3 linked regions of the Schizosaccharomyces pombe genome follow. The gene in region 1 interacts genetically with each later gene. Each region holds a gene or a part of one and is shown on either strand. Other genes may lie near its edges.

What was found.
Region 2: of gap1 (region 1) and pob1, extra expression of one rescues a mutant of the other (dosage rescue), as found in Schizosaccharomyces pombe (one study listed by BioGRID).
Region 3: of gap1 (region 1) and fus1, changing one suppresses a phenotype caused by changing the other (phenotypic suppression), as found in Schizosaccharomyces pombe (one study listed by BioGRID).

The regions. Positions count from the first base shown.
Region 1 is NC_003423.3:946,371-950,130, forward strand, and holds the start of gap1 (GTPase-activating protein Gap1), read right to left. Parts: upstream 1,818-3,760; 5' UTR 1,033-1,817; coding exon 1-1,032.
Region 2 is NC_003423.3:4,389,500-4,393,259, forward strand, and holds the start of pob1 (Boi family protein), read right to left. Parts: upstream 1,664-3,760; 5' UTR 1,655-1,663; coding exon 1,523-1,654; intron 1,328-1,522; coding exon 1-1,327. Other genes in the region: vma10 (V-type ATPase V1 domain subunit G), read right to left, coding at 2,592-2,732, 2,789-2,889, 2,933-2,975, 3,023-3,061, 3,109-3,111. UniProt on the Schizosaccharomyces pombe protein: Has a role in cell elongation and separation.
Region 3 is NC_003424.3:4,816,167-4,819,926, reverse strand, and holds the start of fus1 (formin Fus1), read left to right. Parts: upstream 1-2,140; 5' UTR 2,141-2,583; coding exon 2,584-3,760. Other genes in the region: eIF2 alpha kinase Hri1, read left to right, coding at 1-1,668. UniProt on the Schizosaccharomyces pombe protein: Required for cell fusion. It associates with the pre-zygotic projection tips in conjugating cells.

The sequences.
Region 1 (3,760 bases):
TGGATTAACGAAACGAAGAAAGAAAAATCCACCTATTAAAGAGCAAATAGTGCTGTCTGAAATACTAGGAAACAGACGATTTGTCAGATTGCGAATTAACTTACAGACCCAGCGAATACCATATGGAATTTCGTCGATGCTGTTAAGAACAGCATCTAAAAATCGTTTTGTCAAAAGCAATAATTGAGCAGAACGCTCTTGAATTGCATTTTTTACAGCAGGAAACTCTGAAACTTCCTCGTTTGTTAATAAATTATCATCTTCAGATGGTGATAATTGACCGGTATTCACCAAATAGCGATAAACTGAAAGAGGATGGATGTCAAGCTGCAAATCAGGATGGATAGCAACGTCATTAATGCATTGGTAAAGGATACTACGAAGATATGCTTGTCCGGGTCCACGACGTGTATAAGTTGTAAGCATTCTAGATACCGGAGTATTAGCCCTAAGCAGAGACAAAACGTCAGAAGTGGCCTCAAATTCGGTGGTTAATACCATTTGAAAAAGAGATAATAAAAGATGCTCTTCTCTACTCTCGTATTGGTTTCCGTATATATTAAACATAACGATTTGTAGAAGTGCATCCATGTTAAAAAGCTTGACGCGACGAACAAGGCTAGCGATATAGGCTGGTTCAGACTGAAGTAAAAAAAACAACGCTCCATACAACTGAAGCTTACGATCGTCAGGAAATGATCCTTTTACAGCATTGTAATTATCATTCAGTCGTTTTGCAAACTCATGCTGTTCTTCTTGTGCCATTCGATTTTGGATAAGAAGTGCAATTTTGGAATCAAGGTAGCGTACATCCCTCTCGAGGACGAAGTTTTGTTTGGACTGACTGGATATTTGTTGTTTGAGATCATGCAATTCACGATCCAAGTGGAAAAAGGCATCCTCAACGTCGGACTCCATATCAAGATCGATTGTATAAAGCACAGAGGTGCTTTCACGATTCCTTAACAAGGACAATCGATTTGTTTGCGGAAGCACCGACGAAGATAGGGTACCAGAGTGCCGCTTAGTCATTATAAATTTCAATAGCTAAAAATTGCCTAAGTAGCTAATGAACAAGAGAGGGTAGAAAAAAAAAAGAAAGAGTGTAGGGATCAAGTCAAAGTGTAAAAGAAGAAAACAAGGATGGATATTATACTAAGTTTTCAAACAAAAAAAAAATAAAATAAAAGAGAAAATCATCAAAAGAACGTTATTAGAGGAGATCGGACAGAACCTATTGGTTCTATTAGCAAAACACAGTATTAAGACCCACTGGCGCCCGATTAAACGATTAAAGAAAGCGAAATTCTTCCAAAGAAAAAAGAAAAGGATATAGAATTTATAACGTTATTGAGCAATTCAATAGTATTTGAGCAAAGCGTCCGAGTACGTTAACGTGAAAGGACGTAGGTTCAATGTGACAAATCTGGGAAAAAAAGAGAACAAAGAATAAAATGCTTGACAAAACACAAAAACAGGGTAGCAAAATGATATTGGACGAATAAAATTTAACACAATACTAGTGAGTGTTGTATATGAAGGTAGATGTATATGTATGTGAAAATAAGTAATGCTTTGTAGATGGAATAATATATATAAATATTTAATATTTATATATTTTTAAACAAAAATTAATAACTGGCTTGCTGAAGCAGCAACAAAATAAAGATGAGAAAAATTAAAAATTTTCAAGAAAAGATACTCGAGAAATTAAGATTATTATGTTGTGATATGAGATATCAGAAAAAACAAGGATGCTTGTTTAATTTTATAGTCTTTAAAAGCGTCTTTGAGGATTTCTGTATGTACGAAGTCTTGGGTAGAAAGGCCGACCAAAGGGTAGCGACTATAAGCGATGTAAGGTTTAATGATGTGGAAAAAAAAAATGCCGACTTAGTGAAAGTAAATATGTTACAATACAAAGTGGTGAATTAAAAAAAAAAAAAAAAAAGAGAGAGAAATGTAGAAATTTTATACATGAGAATATGTTAAACAAAGGACAAAATCTAATAATGTCTGCTTAAGACTGGTAGGTACATGTCATAGAAATAATTTACAACGTATATCAATTAATTCAATTGAGAGAATATCTAGTACGAAACGTTAAGTGCTTGTTTAATATGCGCCTGAAGTTTTTGTTTGGCTTGAGCTTTGTTTACATAGCAAGGACAAGACAGAAGCTATTATGGTATTTAGTGGAAATTCATTGTTTAATAAAGTGCGCAGCATTATATCAGATTTCCAACGTATTTTAATATTCGATAATGTATTAATGATCAATTAAAGAAACTCTAACTAATTTTTCAATTGGTAATTCGTTATTTGTAATGATTCATTTATAGATTTATTTTATTTTTTTTTATTTTTTTTTTAATTTTTTTTTTACACTAAGCTACTGGCAGTTTGTACGTTAAGCAAATACAAAGTCGCACGTGGGTGTTTTACCAAAAAGAATTGCGAGTGAATAGGATAAAATGGACGATGAATTTGTAGATTTTTTTTACTACAATTAATCAATGAAAGGAGTAAAAATTTAAAAAAAAAAAATAAAAAATAAATAAAAAATAAAATTAAATAAAGGACAAGATGAAAACTTATTATATGAATTATGGATTTACTTTATTTTATGCTCTTACAAACCGTAACTGGACTGCTGGAATTTCTTCTACTAGATGAGCGTCTATTTGTGTCCTATATATTTAAATTTTATTTTCTCAAATTACATATATATATCAATATGTTATTTCGATTATTTTCGATTTTAATTTTGATATTTTGGAAATTCACTTTATCTTCTACATAATCGCATTTCCTATATCAATCATCATCATCATTTGGACATCTTGGATCCGCTAATTATAGTAACGTTGTATTTTCACTTCATATATCACACTTTACCATTTAACTTTCTTATGGTACGTCGAGTGAGACACAATCGATACCTTGTGTTCTTCAATAGCTATTCCCACAGCACATGAGTCTTTTTACGTAACCCAATAACCTCTTCCCCGGAGTGATCTGTAGCGGACCATTTACTCAATATTGAAACTTTTTAATTACCACGTTGAATCACAAATTGCCAACAAAACACAAGCGCTTTATTTATTAAACGCATCTGACGTTTCAGTATGTGAATTTCTATTACTAGTAGTATGGTATTTTGTCGCACTTCAAATTTGGCCACCGTTACTATATGAGACGAAGCAATACGTAGCAGTAATGTATTTAGTACTCATTTATCAATGAAAAAGATCAAAACAAGAGATTAACTGAGTGATATTCAATAGGATTTGCTAAGTGAAGAGATGATCAAACATTTAATGCTGACTTGGTCATCTCCAACCTATATTACATAGATTTGATTTCTCCATGTTTGGGGAGAGAAATTAGACGAAGGGGTGGATTTTCATTCGTTTCTTCGACAAATAAGTCTTGAGCAAAAGTCCACTCAAAATTCGAATGATGTATAGCGCTATAGCAGTGGTAGAAATATCTGTTGTTTATGATTGCCAATTTTGCTAAGCAATGGTAATGATGATCATCTGTGTAAGTACTATGTATAATAATTAGAGAACTGAGTACCCAATATTATAGCATGCATTATTATGCTTACAGTACGAGATTACTCTCAAACTAACTAATAAAATTAATTACTTGATGACTTGACTTATCTATTCTCCTGCCAAATTATCAAACAACATAAAGAGTAAATTTTAATTTTTTTTTCAAGATTGGGTAGATGCTGTTCGGTATCGCAACG
Region 2 (3,760 bases), 3.4 Mb from region 1:
TGCCCTTAGATGAATGATAAGGTAAACCAGGAAATGAAGTTCCTTCCTTATCAACATCAATGCTACTGGTAGAAGGAGAAGAGATGGGCTCAGTAAGACGAGAAGGTAAACCGCTATTTTGAGAAATTGAGTCCGTAGGGGATGAACGTTTTAATATCGGTGATGTGGCCGAAGGTTCGTTAGAATCAAAACGAGATACATTTTCAGGGACCGCAGATTGCGTAGACTTAGAATTGCGCGAACTTGGTGTGGCTAAAGGAGGAATCACGTATTGGTTCCAATCGGTAGATGGAGATGAGTCCAAATCAGGTGAAACAATCATATTTGACAAAGAAGGCATCACACTAGTCGGACGATTAACATAATCGTTAAATCCCGGACGAGTTGGACTGGATTTTGATGGTGAACCGCCGGCTTCATCATTAGATTTTTTTGGAATAGAAGAGGAGGAATCAGAACTTTGGCTAACAGAAATAGGCTCAGCAAACTGCGGATATTCTTCATATAAAGATTGTTCGTATGAATCTTTTAATTGTTGGATCTTTCGTAAAACTTCAAAACGTTTTCCAAAAGAAGTAATGTTAAGTTCTTTCAAAACATTGGAATCTAAGCCTAATAAAATTTCACCGGTTATTTCATTCTCCGCAAAATTAGGAGCTACTGATCCAAGGCCGGCATTCATAAGCCATTCAACTACCTCTTCCGTAGACCAGTTAGGAACATTTTGAATTTTTTCGGAAACAGCAAGAGAGGATGCAGGTCGATTTTCAATATAGGGCAAAGGTGAACTGTCATTTGGAGTACGAGATGCTGAAGTTGACATATTCTGTAAAGCTGTTTCAATATCTGTAATAGTTTCTCTAACGGAATCCTCAGCTGACAAAACCTTTTTCAAGCTTGCTGAAGTAGCAGGAGCAGAAGTAGAAGCAGAAGCATTATTATAATCGGCATCAATAGTGTTGAAGTTTGATAGATCTGAGGAAGGTTGGTTATCCAACAAAGGGGAAGGGCCTTCTTGTTTAGAAGATGGAAACATTGAGTTAAAATTACTAGGGACCGAAGGTTTCGAAAGACTATCAAGGGGGCCGTTTAAGATTGATGAGTGACTTGAAGACAAGGAATTATTCGAATACAACTTTTCACTGTCCTTGTCCGATCGTGAAGAAGTTGACCGGCTGCTTGATAAAGAGGATCTTGTGACTTCCGCGGTAGAAATGGAGAAATCTTCTTTGCCTCTTCTTGAATCACTTGAGTCAGACCTCTCATCAGATATCAATTCTACGTGCGAAGCAGGAAAAATACCCCTATTTCCCTGTTCATCTTCTCCCTATTAAAACTTAGTTAGTATGATAAAAATATATCAAGGTTTCACAATCCTAAGGGCATGCAACTTTGACATATAGTGTTTGCATCTTTATGTGGATTGGAAAACTGTACAAAGCAGGCATCAAGAATCCTTCAAATTATAAAATATACCAGGAATAAAAATAATAGGATTTTGACTTCGAAGTTATATACTTACTTCCCACCAACCATCACCAAATTCTTCATCCATCTTTATCAACAGATACTTCCGACCTTCAACCAACGGAAGTTCATCACTACTCTTCCCCGGAAAGGAATGCAAAGCAATCACGAACCGCTGACTTGCCATAGTTGTGGTAAAAGCAGAAAAAACACAGCTATGTGGTTATGCGGTGTTGTAATCGAAGGCTTAAATCTTGATGGCTGGCAAAACAGTGTTTACCGTGTTTGGCTTAGCCCACTTTAACGATAATAATCTATGTGGGGAAAGACGACCTTCGTGGGGGCTTTGCTTTTTGAAATCTGCAAGTCTGTTATATTACATTAGGAGAGTGTTGCAGAATGTGTTTTGACCTAGTCATGGTTTAACCAGTACTTACGTGGGGGTAATAGTAGTATTAGGTGTTGAATAGGTGTTTTATTTATTTCTTCTAATATACATGTCGGTACGTTTGAAGGCAAAGGATAGAATGTCTCATCTTCGTATATTAACGAATAAATGAAGGACCAAAGAACTAAGAATTGTGATTATGCTTACGTTTCCATTGAAATACGCTTAGTATAACGATGAGGGTGACAATTGCATAGTTACTATAATACATGTATCTAATTTATTTATTCACGTGTGTAATGAGGTCGATTGACTTGATCTACCACAAAGGTATTATGGAAATGCGATCGAGTATTAACCAGGTAACTTATTATTTATACAAGGTCCGTCTACGGTTGAAGGTAATTATTGGATAACTTCGCTAATATTTCACAATACTAAAATAAAAAATGAGCTAAACTCGTATTTGACCATATTCCTGGGATATCAACAGTCCACTATATGATTTTGCTTAATAAGAATCATTAGCTATCTGAATGCATGATTATTTAACAGCATCCCTCGCAGACAGAATTCTATACCCTTTACGATCTAATAATTGCAAATATTTCATACATGTATGGGAATATTAGATGATTACCGTTAAAGTGATTTATTGCTAAAAATTGCAAATACAGTTTTCCCTTCAGAGGATAGTAAGAATGTGTATATAAAAATTTAGTAATAAACAGTAAGTTTACTTAACATTGCAAGTTATAGATAAAATAGCATCAACCACTTTATCAGAGTTCTTCTGGGAGCTTGTCTCGATACTTGCAAATGTGTCCTGGACTTGCTTTTTGCTCTCCGCTTCAGCCTGACTATATATACCAGAAGCCTGATATGTTAAAATTGATTGTCCAAACTCTTAAAAACTGTATTGAATAACTTTACCTGACTTTCTGACTTTTTGAATTCCTCTTCCTTCTTGGAAGCGTATTCATCAATTTCGCGTTTAGCCTCAAGACGTGCATCCTTCAATCTTTGAGTGCGATCTTTTTATCTTTTAGAAACGTTGCTCCGATTGATTAAACTTACGTTGGCGAGCCTTTTCGACTATATTTCTAGCAACTTTTTCAGCCTACATATCTCATTAGAAATAACGATCTTGGAATTACCTGAACTTACCTCTAAAAGTTGTTGGATACCAGAATTCGTTTGAGCACTCTAAAAAGAAGTCAGAAATTGCTCCTTATAATAAAAATACAAATTACCATTATGTCTGTAAATTTAATCGTACTTGAGGAAGGGTCTATGGTCGAAGAAGTAATACTGGTTTGATAAACTACTCGATCTCCGTAACGTACTCTATCTACTCTGCTATCCACTAATTCCGTATCTTCTTAAACTCGCTAACGATATGGTAAGATGCGATGTTTTGATTGAAATAATGTTTGCTCCTAAATTTGGATACTATATAATAAAATCAGATTCTTACTATCCTCGGTTATAATTGTTGGGCAACGCGCCGTTGTTTGCTCAGGTGAACTGGAACTTAATAAGTAAATTCGGTATTGTTTTACATTTTTAGGCATATGATCAAGAACTGTAAGTAAACAGATAGCAGAAACCATTTGAATCTTACAATATTACATGATAGTACGTTCGAGCAGCACTGAATTTAACAAGTGCATCTAATAATGCTGTTACGGCGTATACAGCATCCTTGCAAATATAAGCATTGCTAAACATAACTCATTTATGTTTTATAGACATTACTTTCAAAACATCAAATTTTTCTATTTATATGCTCTTTTTAACAACCACCATACCTAAATGAATTACTATTTTAAACTTAGTATATTTTCTAGGCAGCGTATTTTTTGCGAGATAAGCAGTTAAAATTTAAACTAATACTTTAATGTA
Region 3 (3,760 bases), on another chromosome or scaffold:
GGATACGAAGACGATGTGATGAATGTCAAGCCTTCAGTAAACGTATTGTCTAATAGGTTAAATCATTTACCAGTTGAAGCATTGGAATCTTGCTTTCCACAAACCACTTTGGAGTCCTCCACGTTTGCTGATTTTTGTGAGCACAAAGATGGAACCGGTAACTTGTCTTTTAGCAACTTTGATAGCTTTCCCACAGTCCAAAGGTCAAGATATGCAAGTGATTTTGAAGAACTTGAGTTACTTGGTAAAGGCGGTTATGGTTCAGTGTATAAAGCTCGAAATAAATTCGATGGAGTTGAATATGCTTTAAAAAAAATTCCACTTCGGTTACGTTCTTTCTCCACTTCTTCTAACATATTCCGTGAATCTAGGACCTTGGCAAGATTAAACCATCCCAATGTGATAAGATTCTTTTCTAGTTGGGTCGAGCTCTTACCGTCATCTGAAAAGCAAATCGAAGAAGAACCTTTAGCTTCGGCAGATGAGACATTATCTCAATCAGCAGATATAGATAATTTTATGTTTGATATGGATACTGGGTTACTTCAGCATACTTATCCTTCATCAGTTCAGATACTATTCCAAGAGGACTCGGTTGCAGATGATTTAACTCCTTGTTACTCTACCAAAAATTCGACTTGCAACTTGACTGATCTTTTCAAGAAAGAGGCCGATCAGGATTATGCCGAGTCACATGATTGTTCTTCAACAACATCACAAGTCGACACATTAGGAAAGTTGGCGCCAACGAAGTCAGCTTCTGAAATGTTACTTATGGATTCATTTCTATCCGAAAGAGAGGAAGATGAATGTTCCAATATTCCCAGCTTTGATCAACAGCCCTTATGTTTGTACATACAAATGGCTCTTTGCGAAGAAACACTCGAGAAACACATAAACAGACGAAATAAGCATATTCACGGTGTAATGTCTAAAGGCCTACGTAACTGTTATATTTTACTGTTTGCAAGGATTTTAGAGGGCGTTTTGTATCTTCACGATGCTATGCATTTAGTCCATCGTGATTTGAAACCTCGAAATATTTTTCTATCTAGTGGTGTACATTCTGAGCCTTGCTCTGTGTGTCTACCTAATTTTTCTGATGAAGATAATGTTGAGGTTAGCAATGCGTACGAACCAGTGAACCAAAGAACTTTATGTGTTGTGCCCAAGATAGGCGATTTCGGTCTTGTTCTTTCTCAGTCAGATAATTTGGAAGAGGGGACCAACTCCTCAGCTGAATCTTCTTTTGTCGGTACAAGTACGTATGCAGCTCCTGAACTTTTCTCAAAACACATGCGATCGGTAATGAATAACAACTCGTCTACTGACATATATGCATTGGGCATACTCTTTTTTGAATTACTGTATCCTTTTAACACGCGCATGGAAAGGGCATCAGCTATCGCCAATTTAAAAAAGGGCATTTTCCCCCATGATTTCTTGGATTCCATGCCAGAGGAAGCTAGCTTAATCCGGTCAATGCTCAGCTCTTCGAATAAGCGCCCAACTGCTGCTCAACTTTTGACTAGCAATCTATTTCATGATTTGGTAGTCAATGAGCTTCATGTATATCAAGCTTTATTGGAAGATGCTGAGAAACGAAATAACAATTTGAAAGCAGAACTAAACATACTTCGAGTTTTAAACCCCAATTACGACTGTTAGTATTAGTTACGAACTACTTTGGACTGCTTCAATTGTTTTTACAATTCGCTTTTGACAAGATTTAGTTGTTTATGTTATTTTATGTTTATATTTCCTACGTTTTATGTTTATCCACTGTTATGATTTGTTTATAGTGAGTTATCTTCCATGCTCTTGGAATGGTTTTTGGAGCTTTTAGGTGCGAAAGAGTAGTCTGCATTAAAGATTTTTCTTATTTTAATATATTAAATTGAAAGTTCATCTTGTACATTTTTTCGTTGCTAGTTTTCAGTTCAACAGTCTGATTGATTTTTTTAAGTTTTCTTGATCTTGATCTTGTACTCAAAATGTTTATCCTTTTTAATCAAACTGTCTTTCATTTATGGAAAACAAATATCAATCAAGCTATAAATTAAACAGCAGAAGCGATTGTTTAATTTTAGCGTGATAGTAAACTAGCACTTCATTAGGCGCCTTATTCTAAAGACACAGTATGTACGCCACCCTCTCAATGTCTTTTAAAAAACATTTATTAATAAATATAAACTAGAATGGACACTAAACTTATTTCCAGCATTATTCAGTTAATTCTGATATGGACTACTTTCAAGTTGTCGCTTTCCAATTACGTTTGTGTTTGAGCTTGAACTTATCGGAAAACTAAATAGTTTTCGAACACAGTTAGTATTTCTTTGTTCTTTAACGGGTACAATAAAATGGATCGTTGCATATGTAATTGTTGCTTTGAATCATATTACGTCGGTTAAACCGAACAAAGAAAGTTATGTTCTAAATACTCAGTAATTTTCTAGTAAGTCTTTTACCTTACTTCTTATATCTGAACTCAAAAAGGATTGTTTACGAGCAAAAAACCTTGTTTCTGTAATTATAGGACATATTATTGATGGTTTCACCTTTTTTAGCTATTGCTTGTTAATGATGACGGCTAGTTTTAAAGGTATCAGAATCTCTAAACCAATTGTTAAAGAAATTTCATCGTTTGGGTCTCTAACAAACATTGATTTACACACTGACCCATATGAAAAAGTCGAAGCAAAAGCATTATCGCGAAGCAGATTAAAAAACCAAAGCGTAAAGAAAACAGACCTTCGTATTACAAATGATTACTCTTCACTATTTGTGAGTATTGAAAACAAAAAAAACACTATTCCGGATATTCATTGCAACAATTTATCAAAAAGACCTGTTGGATTTACCGATTCATATGTACCAGGCGAAGCGCTTCTATGTCCGGATGACCCGAATTTAGTGAATGAATTATTCGATGATGTTTTAAAAAGATTACGCGAAGAAAAATCTGATTCTGGTGAGCAGTTTCATTGGGACGCGAACGTTACACTCTCTCAAGAAAACAAATGGTCTTTCATCACTGGCTATTTATCGAGAAACGATAAATTTTTAAAAATATCATCAAACGATTCTGAACTAAATGTCAAGGCATCCGTCATTTCCTATATTGAAAAGTTAAGCTGTACACCGTTGAAGCTCAAGTACGTGGAATCTTTGGCGGTTGCATTGAGAACCGAATCAGTTACCTGGGTTCGATATTTTCTTTTGATGGGTGGACACATAGTACTTGCTAAAATATTGCAGGCAATTCATGAGAAGAAACATCTAAAAAGTCCTGACATAACTTTAGAAATTGCAATCCTCAAAAGCATGAGGTGTATTATAGGACAGAAGATTGGGACTGATTTCTATCTGAGTAATAAGTATCCTATCGATTCAGTTGTTCACTGCCTCCTGTCAACTAAATTACTAGTAAGGAAACTAGCTGCCGAATTACTTACTTTTCTTTGTTACTCAGAAAAGCCGAACGGAATCAACGCAATTATGAAATGTATGAAAAACTTTGCAAATTTGAAAGTCGAGTCTATGAACGTCTTTGATTTATGGCTTTCTCAATGGAAAAGAACACTCTTAGAGAAAGTTGTTACTGAAGAAAAGAAAGTACTAGAAGAAGCGGCCTTACATGATAAAATAACTATTGAGTATATCATTTCACAAATGCTTCTTATAAATGCATTTCTTGAAAATATCCCATCTAAAACTGCTTTACTCCAGTTCAAGGAATCCTTGAGAATAGGGAATT